Linked DNA regions of Arabidopsis thaliana. The protein of the gene in region 2 interacts with the protein of the main gene of each other region in a pairwise test. Each region holds a gene or a part of one and is shown on either strand. Other genes may lie near its edges.

Region 1 (7,255 bases), on a different chromosome or scaffold from region 2:
AAGTTTGCTCTGCCACTCATAAGCTATTGGAAAGGCATCCACCATAAAAATTTAAGGAGTTTTTTTGGACTCCTTGATGCTTTCCAATTTGCTTAGAAAAGATTTGGAAATTAAGGTTTTTCTACATACTCACAAAGTCACAATTGTTTTAAAAAAATTAATTTATCATTGTTGACTTTGAAAAAGTGAATGTGACGAGAATAAATAGAACAAGATGAGCTAGGAAAACAATTAAGAGATTTAAAAAGATGTTAAAAGTGTTATATTGGTAAAAATCAAATCCTCTATCGTCTCCACCAATCAACCCCACAAATCTTCATCCATCTTGAAATGAACATTAACAATGTTGATTTTTATCAACGGTTTGCAACTGCATGCAGTTGTGGAATTGCCAAATAGTGCCATGGAAAATATGTGCATAAATTAATTTCAAGCCATACTTGGTTTGAATAAGCATGATTATATTACATATGCGTTTACAAATTTTTGAATAAAATCTGCAAAATTCGAACCCCCATATCAAATCTTGAATATCCCAAAGTATAATTCAGTAGAAAACGGAGATTTACTTTGTAAATCATAAAGATATTCTGACAGTACATAATTATTATATATTTAAGTCGGATTAACGATGTTTAGCTTCATTTTTCAAGAATTCTAACATGAAAAATTGGATATATATAGGTCTCAGATTCTTACATGTGAATTGTGAAATATTGTGAGTTGGAGAAGCGTGCTTTTGTTCAACCGTGCGCTTTACGTAAAGGTATGTCATTGGTGCATGGGAGCCTTTAATTTTTTACTGTAAAAATATCTCAAGTGACCCGTGAATCTAAAGATTATAAAGATTACATATATAGAGAAGGCTCGTTTGTCTTTAATATACATAAACTAGCAATATTTGAATATTCATGGCATGACCCCATTATTGCTATATAAAAAGAGCCAAGTGTCCAATTCCTGATTTCAGATGAAGTAAAAGACAACCAAATATGAGTTTATGCTCTGATCTCACTGAGAAATTAGACGAGGAGATTTTAGAGGACTTGACGTCCAATGTGAAGCAAATACAAGACAACGTATTGGAGGAGATACTCACACTTAATGCTAACACAGAGTATCTTCGACGTTTTCTCCATGGGAGCTCTAGTAAAGAGCTTTTCAAGAAGAACGTCCCTGTGGTGACCTACGAGGATGTGAAGCCTTTTATCGATCGTGTCACGAATGGAGAGCCCTCTGATATTATCTCTGGCAACCCCATTACCGGATTCCTTCTAAGGTATATACTTTTCATTTCCTGGCTTTTTTCTTCTTTTCAAAAATTGTATTAGAGCAACTTTATCATTGGTTATTATACAATCAATGTGAGTGATGTTAGAAACTCTAGAGATAATGTGCTCTAATGGTTTTTCACTGTAGTTCTGGAACATCCGGAGGAAAACAGAAGATGTTTCCTCGTAACAACAAGTACTTGGAAAACATAAAATTCATCTTTTATTACCGATCGCTCGTTATAAGCAAGTAATGATGATAACACAACATATTCTTTTAATAAAACATTTTTATATTTGTAGATTATTGATGAAAGTCTCTTTTGGTGTCATGATAGGCATATAGATGGTCTTGAACATGGAAAGGGAATGGTATTTAACTTTTGTACATCAGAGAACACAACTCCTTCTGGTTTGCCATCATCAGCTGCATCGACGAGCTTCTTCAAGAGTGATTATTTCAAGAACCGACCATCGTATTGGCATTGGTCTTACACAAGCCCTGACGAAGTCATATTGTGTTCAGACACCAAGCAGACTTTGTACTGTCATCTTCTATGCGGTCTTGTTCAAAGAGACGATGTTGTGAAGGTTGGTGCCGCCTTTGTTACTATTTTGGTCCGAGCAATAAATCTTCTTGAGAATTCTTGGAAGGAAATTTGCACTAATATCCGTTTTGGTCATCTTAGTGAGTGGATCACTGATATTAGTTGTAGAGACTCCGTTTCAAAGATTCTTGGAGAGCCTAATCCTGAATTGGCTGATCTCATAGAAAATGAATGCAACAATAAATCATGGGAAGGTATAGTTCCAAGACTTTGGCCTAAAGCCAAATTCATAGAATGCATTGCAACCGGTCAAATGGCTCAACACATCCCAACATTGGAGTTTTACTCTAACAAGTTGCCATCGATTTCCTCGAGTTACGTATCTTCTGAAACTATGTTTGGTATTAATATGAGTCCTCTTTGCAAACCAGAAAATGTATCATACACATTTCTGCCCAACTTGTCATATTTTGAGTTCCTACTTGTTGATGCCGGTGACAAAACCGAAATTGTTGATCTCGTGGATGTCAAGTTAGGGTGCTATTACGAGCCCTTGGTCACAAATCATTCCGGTGAGTACTTAGGAAAAATTATTGATATATATACATACACTCGACTAATCGATTAATTATATTGTTTTTGTTTTTGCTAGGCCTACACAGATATAAGATGGGTGATATTTTACTGGTGACTGGATTTTATAATAATGCACCTCAATTTAGATTTGTGCGTAGAGGAAATCTGACTCTAAGTATTCATTTGGAGATAACTACAGATGAAGACCTTTTAAACGCGGTCACAGACGCAAAGATGGTTCTTGAATCATCAAATTTGATGTTGATGGACTTCACAAGCTATGCGGATATTTCTACTACTCCGGGTCATTATGTTCTTTATTGGGAGCTCAAAGCAAAATACCGCAACGACATTGTTGAAATCGATAAGAATGTTTTGGTAGAATGTTGCTATGTGGTGGAAGAATCATTGAACAATTCTTATAGAGTATATAGGAGTAAAGGTGGATTAATTGGAGCTTTGGAGATAAGATTGGTGCAGCAAGGAACTTTTGATGCTCTCATGGAGTTTTTCATCACTCAAGGTGCTTCTTCAACTCAATACAAGACACCTATTTGCATCAAATCTACTGAGGCCTTGGTGATTTTAGAAGAAAATGTCCATGCTTGTTTCTTTACTGATAAGTCCCTTTCTTTGAACTTTTCGTCATAATCTCTATATTATGTAGGCATTGAAATAAAAGCTCGTGGTAAACAACATGAAACGAGATCAAACGCATGCCCTTGAAACTCATTTTTTAAGTGTATCTCTTATTATTATTTTATTTTTATGTAAGTGTATCACTGTTGACACATAACATTTCAAATGCCAATGTAAAAGCAACGACTAAGGAAGAGTCTTGTGCATGCAATATGAAAATGAGAAATCGAAAAGGTTAACATTATATTGTTGGCAAAATAAACGAGACCTTGAATTATGTTCATTATTTACGTATCATACATAAGCTTAAAATTATGTTCATGAGACCTTGAATTATGTTCATTATGTACGTACATAAGCTTATGAACATAATTCAAGGTCTCATTAAGCTCATTAGCTGTCAACATTATGTACGTACATTATGTTAGTTCTTAAAATAATCAAATCAAACTATTCTAGGATATAAAATGAACATAATTTGAAGAAGAAACACTAATTAACTGTCTACAGTCTACACACATTTATAACGCAATTAGATCCCAAACAAAAGCATACCACACACGTATCTACCAAAATTATCAATAAAATCACATCTTTATAGAAATGGAAGTTTCCTTAAATAAGAATTTACACATCGTTAATGGAATGTAATCAGTAGAAATAGAAAGAAACAATAATAAGAAATCAATGAGAATCATTGGCGTAATTGTGTCAGTATCTAATGCACATCCACTTATATATAGACACATATTTTTAACTTTATTACAAATTAATTACAATTTAGACGAACCGGTTAATTCGGTAACCAGTAATACTAACGCGTTTAGGGATTAGTATCAACAGCAAAATCTGTGTCACTAAATTAATAAATAAATAGAGAATATAAATTCCTCATTTTGGTTTCTTCTTCAACCTCTTTGTCAGAGAAGTTTCAAAAAACCCACACACACACTTTACACACTCTTCATCTTCTTCTTCTTCCTCTTCGTCTTCTTCTTCATCATCGTTTTCGATTTGTTGCTCCGATAATGTCGTTCCTATAACCCGAAGATCATCAACGAAGAAAGCGAAAAAAACCTCAAAAAATCACTGAGATTATTACAAATGGCGGCTACTGATTTTTTCTTCGCTTTCGTCTTCTCTTTCGCTCTTATCTTCGGCTTCTCTTTCGCTGGTGATCCTTACGTCTCTTACGATTTCACCCTCTCCTACATCACTGCTTCTCCTCTCGGTGTTCCTCAACAGGTTTCGTTTCGCTTCCATTTTTTTCCCTCTTAAAACCCTATTTTTTCCTTCGAAATTGAGGTTTTGAAACGTTAATCTAGTGATTTTGTCTCCTTGATTTTGCTAATAACGTAGTTGTTGCTCTAGATCTAACATTACGATTAACTCGTCGGAGGTGGTTTCAAAGTTTGAGCTTATCAGATTGGATTTTGTTTCGTGTGTAGGTTATAGCAGTCAATGGGAAATTTCCAGGTCCTGTGATTAACGCTACGACAAACTACAATGTTCATGTTAACGTACTCAATCATTTGGATGAGCCTCTTTTACTTACTTGGTGATGATCCATCTCTTAACATTCTCATAATCACTTGTGGCTGCTTCTTAGGATTTGTTGTTGTGATTCCTGACATTGTGTTTATTTGGATAGGCCTGGTGTTCAGATGAGGCGTAACTCGTGGCAAGACGGTGTTCTTGGAACAAACTGTCCAATTCCACCGAATTGGAACTTCACTTATGATTTTCAGTTGAAAGATCAGATTGGAAGTTATTTCTACTCTCCTTCACTTAACTTTCAGAGAGCCTCTGGTGGTTTTGGTGCACTCATAATCAATAACAGAGACCTTGTTCCTATTCCGTTCACTGAGCCTGATGGTGAAATCATCTTTATTATTGGTGATTGGTATACTCAGAACCATACAGTAAGTGCAGTTTTGGTGTCTAGATGGTGTTTAGTGATGACTTTTGGTTCTGAGTGTTATGTTTTTATATTTGTGAAACTCTGTTTTCTTTCAGGCTTTAAGGAGGATACTTGACTCTGGTAAAGAACTTGGGATGCCCGATGGAGTACTCATCAATGGGAAAGGTCCTTTCAAGTACAATAGCAGTGTACCTGATGGAATTGAACATGAAACCGTTAATGTTGATCCAGGTAACATTTTTAGAGTTGTATTTTAACTTTGCTTTCATTCTGTTTCCATTTGCATTTGGTTGTGGAATTGTGTGCATTGGATCTCCAGTTTCAGTTTTTTTTGTTGCTGTCATTGCTTTGCAAATCAAAGTTGGCTTTGATATTTCTTCCCTCTTACTTCATTCTGAGTTACATTTTACAGGGAAAACATACAGGATCCGTGTTCACAATGTTGGTATCTCGACAAGCTTGAACTTCAGGATTCAGAACCACAAATTGCTCTTGATTGAGACTGAGGGTCGCTACACCTCCCAAATGAACTTCACCGATTTTGATGTTCATGTGGGACAGTCTTATTCTTTCCTGGTAACCATGGACCAAAACGCCACAAGTGACTACTACATTGTGGCGAGTGCTAGATTTGTTAATGAAACAGTGTGGCAAAGAGTCACAGGTGTTGGCATTCTCCATTATTCCAATTCCAAAGGACCTGCTTCTGGTCCTTTGCCAGTTTCAGCAACTGATGTTAATCACCCTTGGTCTGCAATGAACCAACCGAGAGCCATAAAGTATGTCTAGAAAACTGTTCAAGCAAATGAATGTTTCACATAAACCTGTAGCCATGTAAATGTGATCCTGATTCTTTTCATATGCAGGCAAAACACATCTGCAAGTGGAGCTCGTCCAAATCCGCAGGGATCATTTCACTACGGACAGATCAACATTACAAGAACATACATCTTGAGGAGTTTGCCTCCAACAAAAATCAATGGGAAACTTCGTGCTACACTTAATGGAATTTCATTTGTCAATCCAAGCACCCCCATGAGGCTTGCGGATGACCATAAAGTGAAAGGAGATTATATGTTAGATTTTCCAGACAGACCACTTGATGAAAAACTTCCACGTTTGTCCAGCTCTATCATCAACGCAACATACAAGGGCTTTATACAAGTTATCTTCCAGAACAATGACACCAAAATCCAGAGCTTCCATATTGATGGATATGCATTTTACGTGGTTGCGTAAGTAAATCATGCCACTCTTGGGTACATTTATTACATTTTCGATCAGTTTAACTGGTCTAACGAGGATTTTCAAATTTTGGTATTCCAGGATGGACTTTGGTATATGGTCAGAAGACAGAAACAGTTCTTATAACAACTGGGATGCAGTAGCACGAAGCACGGTGGAGGTAAACTCTCATTTGCAATCGGTCTCTGTACACCATTTGAAGTGATAATATTGGTCAGCAGGTTTACTTTATTGGGTACTTTTTTGTTTTAACGTTTGCTTCAGGTCTATCCAGGAGCATGGACTGCTGTACTTATTTCTCTCGATAATGTTGGAGTTTGGAATATCCGGGTTGAGAATCTTGACAGATGGTATCTTGGCCAAGAAACATACATGCGAATTATAAACCCTGAGGAAAACGGAAGTACGGAAATGGATCCGCCTGAAAATGTTATGTATTGTGGTGCTCTTCAGGCCATGCAAAAGTAAGGATCAGAAACTTTACTCTCTGCTTCTCTAATTTAACCTTTATGTAAAACAAACTAAGAAACTCTTATTTGCTGTTTTCCTCCAGGGAACAACATCACAGCTCGGCCACAAAATCAATGACAAATGGACAGTTGATACTAATTTTCAGCATGATGATGGTTTTGCTCTCCTCGTTTTCGTCCTTTTGCTGAGTCTGTTCCATCATTTACGAATCTACTCTGGTTTGGTATTCTGATCTCCCATTAGGGCTGTAGATGGAGAATGTATAACTACAAACAGCAGTTGGGTTCGTTCTGTTTCTCTCATATTTCATTGATTGTTAGGTACTCATATCTTCTATCCTCATGATTCTAAACAACGTTAGTTCGTGAGGGTTTGTGTTTAGAGCTTTGTTCTTCGTAGTTCTAGGTCATTTGGAGTTCAAAACTTTGGCAACGACTGTAACTAAAGTTCTCATTTGTGGGTCTTCTACATTAATTTCTACTATTATCCTCGTTTCTGGATATTCAATATGCAATGCTACTTCTGTTTGGGACAATTATTAGGACATGTAACATTCGAAAATTCGTTTCGATCATGTTTTTGCA
Region 2 (7,255 bases):
CTGTTCACGGAGACGACGCTGAGATTCTTCCGCCGTGTAGAGCTTTTTCTGGAGAACGTCCATGGATATCGGAAGCCCTAAAGAGTGATCGATTGTCTCTTTGATAAAGTCATCGACTTCTCGCGAGAGATCCATTTAGAATCAACAAGAAATCGCAGACAGAGTTCGCTCGCTGAAGAACTCTAGGGTTTCTGAATTCCAAAGGAGGAGGATTCGAATTTCAAAATTGAAATCAGTGGCACTAATTATTGGTCAATGAAACCATTTATAGTTGGGCCGAGATTTTGGCCCATTAAAGAGCTAACACTATGTCCTTGTATGTCGGTGGTATCAACCTTGGATCTTTCAATTGGATCCAAACAAGTACAAAAATATGCAATTTACTTCAATTTAGCTCTCCAATATTTATTTAGTTACATCTTCAAATTATTATTTTTATTGTGCAGTATAGACTGAAGATATATATGAAGGAGAAAATATGTGTGTTTTGAAATTTATTAGATACAAAGAAACTCGAATTCAAAGGTATTGATAGTCTTTTACAATAGGTAAAATATATAGAAAGGATACAAGTAATTTAATTTCTGTAGCCCAAAATAAAGAGAGAAGAAGAGAGACTCTCGCTAAAACCTCTAATGAGAAGAGATGCTTCTTTAGAAAATAATCAGACATTGTCTTTGTGTCTCTCTTCTTTCTAACAACCTATCTCTTTATCTTCTTTGTTCTAAGCAAAATTCGTAAGAAGGCAGAAGAAGAAGAAGGAAATCAACATAAGAAGATTGGTGTACAGACCTTCTTACTCGCATTTGATCGACCGGTAAATGTGACGGACAAAGAGGAGGGCTGCGCGGAAGCCAACTGTTCCGAGCATTAAGAAGAATCCGTAGCAAATGCAAGCCATGTATCCGAAGAAAAACGAGGTTTGCATAAAACCCGACATGTCTGATCGTGCGTAGTAATAGTATAAGCAGTATGCGTAGATAAACAAACCGGTCGATCCACCACATAGGAATGATCTGCAATAGAAATTTGTAGAATCAGACTCAAGTTCTCATGGTCAGAGAGAAAAGAATAGAGACGATTAGCTGAGTTTAACGAACCTCCACCACCATTGGTGATCTTCAGCAGCGAGTTGGAAGTAAGTCAAGGCAACGGTTATAAAAGCAGTGACGATGATGAGAATGATGAAAACGATGAATAAGATGCTGTAGATGGTGTAGATCCGGTGACCCCAGACACTAGCGAAAATGTAGTAAAGCTCGATGTAGATGGCACTGAAAGGAAGAAAACCAGCCATGGCCATCTGAGGAATAGCACTTCTGTACCAAGGGAGTGGTGGAATCTCACGAGGATATTTGGTTGTACGGCATGGTGCTTGGAACTCTGCTTTGCTGTTTTTACCCGCGATACCACCCAAAACGAGTAAAGGTGAGGTAACTAGAGTCCATATAAGGACGATCACCACAATGGTTCCAAAGGGTAATGCAGCGGTTGCAGTGTAGGTGATGGCTACGGTGTTAAGGAAGCAAAAGGTTAGGAATAATGGGCCACAGAAGAGACATCCAGTGAGTAACAAGTTCCTCACCTGCAATAATGTCAAAAAAGGGAGAAGTTGTTTATTTCAGTTGAAGATGATTTTTTGAGAGACAGGGATGATTCTCATCATGTGTAAATATTTACCCAGCTTTTTCCTTCAAGTTGACAGTAGAAAGAGGCAGATGTGTATCCGGCAATTCCAGAAGTGAGAGCGTAAATGACCACCAAAGCGGTAAAGAGTGCTCCTCGGTTGTATGGGTAGAACACTCCAACAAGAGCAAGCATGAAAATAAATATGGTGCTGATGACATGGAATAAAAGGAAAAGCTACAGTTAGTTACAGTAAGAAGAAATGCGGATATGGATGAAAGTGTATCCAGATGGAAAGTATTCGAGTTATGAGAGACTTACAGCGTGAACAATTGAGTGCCACTACCGAGCGATGCAGCAAATAAAGAATTGTGAGTAGGGAACCGAAACACATCGCCATGAATGTACTTCCATCCAGTTTCCTCTTGATCATCAGCAGCTTCCTCATCTTGAGCATACCTTTTAAGCATTGGAATAAGGTTAGATGAGATAGACAAGTGTAAAACAGTCGACAGTGAGGAAACTTGAAACTTACTTCATGAAATCGTTCTTGAGGACTCGCATCAAGATAGTTGCAAGGAATCCAGTCAAAAGAAGGACAGTGACACAGGAGTTAATAATGGAGAACCAGTGGATTTCCAAATGATGTGGAAGAGAAGAAGACATAGAGTACTTCTCCATTCTTTTCTCAAAAGGAGTCTCAGTTTCCTTCCACTTCACAGTGTACATAAACTCTGCATCAACTTCCTTATCCTCAGTGAGATCCACAAGCGAATGAGGATCCATTCTAGCACTGATCTCGATCACACGGTCCTTATTGTATAGAATCTCAAACTGAATGTGCTTGTACAAGAAATATTTGAATTCACTCGGATCAGATTTGATATCCTTGTCAACCTTTCCAATGAATCCCCAGATAGGTAGATCATCATAGTACATCTGGAAGTAGTAGTCCTTCTCAACAGCTTTTCTGAACTGTTTGACCTCTTCTTTACTCAACTTCTTGTTGCAGTATACCTCAGACTCTTTTTCATCTCTGAAGTTGAGCTTGTATGGAGCGCTAACTAGCCGATCCCCGTTTAGAACCTCGCCAAGAGCTTCCTTCTTCTCTTTCACACCCTCTATAAACCATATTCAATAATGGGATGATCGAATCAGGAGATGTCACACAAATCAGTTGCGGCTTAAACACAAATCGTGTGATTAAGCTAGTAAAGATATAAGCATACCTGGGATACAGAAGGGAAGATCAAAATATCGATACGTCTCACTGCAATCATCATTGAACAAAACCAAAATCAGTCATATAATAGTATTCAAATCTAAGACAGATCCATCACATAAACGAAAAACATTCCAAATGTAGTTTCTTCTTTCACTCTTTGGTTTTAACATTACGCATTTTGCAGTGTACTCAGTTATCAATGTCGTTACTCAATTCAATAGCAACAGATTCAACAATAAACGATCAATTTATCATCCTCAGGCTTAAGAATGGGAAACAACCTCAGATCTGAAGCTCAGATCTAGAATAGATGTTTCCGTTTACCTTGGATTGTGAAATGGGCCGACCTTGTTGGCGTAGAGAGGAACGGTGTCTCCTTCCTTGTAACGGTGGTCGGAGGCGTCGGATCTGACATAGCCGGCGCCGGAGAAGAGGATAGCTCCGACAAGAAGGAGAATCGTCGTCGGTGTCCTCATTGCGTATTCTGCTCAAATCGTGAGATCTGAGTAACTTTTTTTATTTGGGAGAAGAGGGAGAAAAATGGAGGAAATAACGACAATATTTATATACCAAAGACTTCAATCAAACTCGAGTCAGCTACACAAATTTTAATATTTTTATTATTTTCTCACTTTATTTCATAAGAAAAATACATAAAAAAACTATAGTCAATAATACTTTATACCATTTCCAACCATAAAAATAAATATCAATGTCTATAAATTCATAAATATATGGCTTTTGAAACCAAGACTAATTATTTATAACAAATGTGAGTGGCATTTAACAAAATACAAATCATTTTCCCATATGTAGGCTAATTAAACCAAAAAAAGAATATGTAGGCAGTGAGCGAACTAATTGTTCTGCCAAACCTATGTATCTTATAGTGTTTTTTTTCCTTGGGTCGAAAATCTTATCGTATTAACACTTCATAAATTTTGAATAGTTAAATTATTACTTCTTTGTATTAGATGTGGAGTGGAGTGACTATTTTTTTAATATCTTTTGTGGTTATAGTATAGTGAATATGAAGAATGACGAATGATGTTACACGAGACCAAGTTTTTGAAAAAAAAAATATATGAATCTGATAATCATTTTTCCTTTACGTGCGTTATCGTACGTAATTGCTTTGCATGATCTCACGTCATGACAGCAATTATAGAAACTAAACAATTTAAAATTCTCATTTATACACAACGTGCATCGTTTTGAGGCATGGATAATTTAAGGTTTTCGATTTATAGATTGAATCAGCAAGAAATTACAATGTAGCCACTTATACCAAAAATAAAATCAAACAATTTGAACAAGATACATTGAAGTATGGATCAAAACAAACAAACAAAAGTGACACTAGTTAAGTTTAGAGACTAGAGTGAGTCGGTTTTGTTATTTCATAATTTGGTTCATGTAAATATATGTACCCTTCATTTGAACAGAGTAGTATAATCCAGTAACTACATTCATATCTAGCAAAGAAAACAGAAACCTAATCAAAAACGTATTAAGATTTCTCAAATTTTCGTTCAAATTAGTGATAGAAAACCAGACGTAACCGAAATAAAACAGGTCAAGCCAAACCAGACTAGATTCAATCTTGGTTCACTCTTAAACGAAGCAGATTCGGTTCGGTAAAAGCATCTTTGACCGTAATCACTGGCAAAACGAAAGATTGATCGTTTGCTTCTTTCTACCGGAGATGACGAGTATAATCGGCGCGGCGTTGCCGTACAAATCACCGGAGAAAGCAATTGCATCTTCTTCGTATTCAGCTGAGAACGATTCGAGTCCTGTTGATGCTGTTATTTTCGCGGGAACTTCGCTGGTTCTCGGCACCGCTTGTAGATATTTGTTTAACGGCACTAGAGTTCCGTACACCGTCGTTCTTCTCGTCATCGGCATTTTTCTCGGATCCCTAGGTCTTATTTGTTTGCTCATTAAGCTTTATAGCTCAGTTTCAATTTCGTGGAAGATTTTAGAAAGTAGTTAAATTTTGGATTTTTTTGCTTCTGTAGAATATGGAACTAAGCATAACCTTGGGAAGCTCGGCCATGGAATTCGTATCTGTAAGCTACTGTATTTTCTCTTCTCCATACTGTTAGATTACGAGCTCTAAAAAATGGCAACTTTACAGGGAATGGTATCAACCCTGACCTACTTTTGGCTGTTTTTCTCCCTGTTCTTCTTTTCGAGAGCTCATTCTCCATGGATGTGCACCAGATCAAGGTTTTTACTTTCCTGATTGAGCTACTTCCTTGGCTGTGTTGGTTCCTGGTATTGATTGTTTTACATCATTGGTAGAGATGTATGGGACAAATGGTTCTGCTTGCTGGACCTGGAGTTCTGATTTCCACCTTTTGTCTCGGAGCTCTTATAAAGGTACTTTAACTAGCTTCAACATTTTCGACTGTGATTAAGTGAGCTTCAATTAACTTAACAATTTTTTCGAGTTATGCTCTTGTAGCTTACTTTTCCATATAACTGGGACTGGAAAACATCATTGTTGCTTGGAGGACTTTTAGGAGCTACCGACCCCGTGGCTGTTGTTGCTTTGCTAAAGGAGCTTGGTGCTAGTAAGAAGATGACCACGTTAATTGATGGGGAATCTCTCATGAACGATGGGTAACCATGTCAAACTCTTATGTTTAGCATCAAGGTGATGTTATGTCATATATGATCAAGCTTAGTTGTTTGGATTATTCAGGGTATCGGTTGTGGTTTTTCAATTATTCTTCAAGATGGTGATGGGGCATAACTCTGATTGGGGTTCCATAATCAAATTTCTTGTCCAAAACTCATTCGGAGCGTATGGATTATTTTCCTTTGTTAGTAGTATTGTATGTCGCTGTCTTCTTTTCTCCGCTTATGTTGTTCTGGTTTTTTAGTGTAGGCATTGGTCTAGCTTTTGGAATTGCATCAGTTTTTTGGCTTAAATTCATATTCAATGACACGGTGGCTCAGATCACTGTAACACTTTCAGCGAGCTATTTCGCCTATTACACTGTATGCTCTTCTCTTCTACATAACTTAGTCCCCAATGGAGAATCTTAAATCTCTAGGAAACCTAAGAAATTTCTACTATGTACAGGCTCAAGAGTGGGCTGGGGTTTCTGGAATTTTGACTGTCATGATTTTGGGGATGTAAGTCGTGGTAAATTATCCCTTCTTTCTGTTGTTATGTGTCAAAAAGCCATTGTTCATAACATAATTGTAATAGGTTTTTCGCTGCATTTGCAAGGACAGCTTTTAAGGGGGACAGTCACCAGAGTCTGCATCACTTCTGGTATTTCACAACTCAGTGTTCTTTTTTCGTCAAATCAAAGGAAATCTTTACATGTATATATTATATTTTTATGATTGCCCTATAACTTTTGTAGGGAAATGGCCGCTTACATTGCAAATACACTAGTTTTTATGCTCAGGTACGAACTGTCTGGCAAGATTCGAAAACAAAAATTTACTGGTTATTTTACAAACAAAATACTGCAGACGATGTTTTAGCCGATACCTGATTGATACAAGATCATTGCATGTGTGTCTCTTGTGAATTGCAGTGGAGTTATTATCGCTGAAAGCGTTCTTAGCGGTCAGACAATATCTTACAAAGGTGTCTCTTCACAATTTATTATTCTACGTCCGGATTTTTTTTTTATTTTGTTCTTGGAAGATGTAAAGGGAGGTTTTCTCCTAGAATTCGTCATGATTAACGGATAACATCGCTAATTCCTGATACCATTACCGCAGTAGCTTTCTTTTTGACATATATTGGGGTTAAGAGGACCATTCATTACTCGTAACGTTCTTTTCAGGAAACTCGTGGAGCTTCCTTTTCCTCTTATACTTGTATGTCCAACTTTCCCGCTGTGTTGTTGTTGGAGTTTTGTACCCATTGCTATGCCGTTCTGGCTATGGGTTGGATTGGAAGGAATCCATCATACTCACGTGGTCTGGATTAAGGGGTGCTGTTTCGCTGTCGCTCGCTCTATCTGTAAAAGTGAGTTCTGAAGAAATGGCATTTCATTCATGCAAGAGCAATATCTACTAATTTCAAATCTGTTTTCAAATCTTTTATATTCATGTTCCCATTTCCTTTTCTCTGACATACTATAGCTCTCGGTCATATGATTCAGCAATCAAGTGGAAATTCATATCTCAGTTCAGATACGGGAACAAGGGTGAGTTCTGAAACACAGTATGAACTACTTTTGAATTTCTTTCTGGAGGCTCTTTTTGTTATCTTGATGTGTTTCAGCTGTTTTGCAGTTTCTATTCCTCACAGGTGGGATTGTTTTCCTAACTTTGGTTGTTAATGGATCCACTACCCAATTGCTCTTGCACCTTCTTCGCATGGACACTTTAACGGCCACTAAGGTCAGTATGTTAATCCTATATTCTCTT

The links. The genes of interacting proteins can lie anywhere in the genome.
Region 1: the proteins of AT1G14670 (region 2) and SKS2 interact in a protein complementation assay, tested with the Arabidopsis thaliana proteins (one large-scale study listed by BioGRID).

The regions. Positions count from the first base shown.
Region 1 is NC_003076.8:20,906,295-20,913,549, forward strand, and holds SKS2 (SKU5 similar 2), read left to right. Parts: upstream 1-3,909; 5' UTR 3,910-4,138; coding exon 4,139-4,279; intron 4,280-4,482; coding exon 4,483-4,592; intron 4,593-4,685; coding exon 4,686-4,956; intron 4,957-5,050; coding exon 5,051-5,186; intron 5,187-5,367; coding exon 5,368-5,734; intron 5,735-5,821; coding exon 5,822-6,190; intron 6,191-6,281; coding exon 6,282-6,360; intron 6,361-6,464; coding exon 6,465-6,664; intron 6,665-6,753; coding exon 6,754-6,859; 3' UTR 6,860-7,253; downstream 7,254-7,255. Other genes in the region: AT5G51470 (Auxin-responsive GH3 family protein), read left to right, coding at 993-1,279, 1,420-1,521, 1,610-2,391, 2,472-3,046.
Region 2 is NC_003070.9:5,033,741-5,040,995, reverse strand, and holds AT1G14670 (Endomembrane protein 70 protein family), read right to left. Parts: upstream 3,421-7,255; 5' UTR 3,328-3,420; coding exon 3,176-3,327; intron 2,897-3,175; coding exon 2,856-2,896; intron 2,748-2,855; coding exon 2,162-2,747; intron 2,086-2,161; coding exon 1,948-2,085; intron 1,838-1,947; coding exon 1,681-1,837; intron 1,586-1,680; coding exon 1,101-1,585; intron 1,017-1,100; coding exon 797-1,016; 3' UTR 399-796; downstream 1-398. Other genes in the region: AT1G14680 (early endosome antigen), read right to left, coding at 1-135; NHX8 (Na+/H+ exchanger 8), read left to right, coding at 4,557-4,776, 4,873-4,923, 4,992-5,083, 5,159-5,236, 5,322-5,479, 5,562-5,663, 5,743-5,860, 5,946-5,998 and 6 more.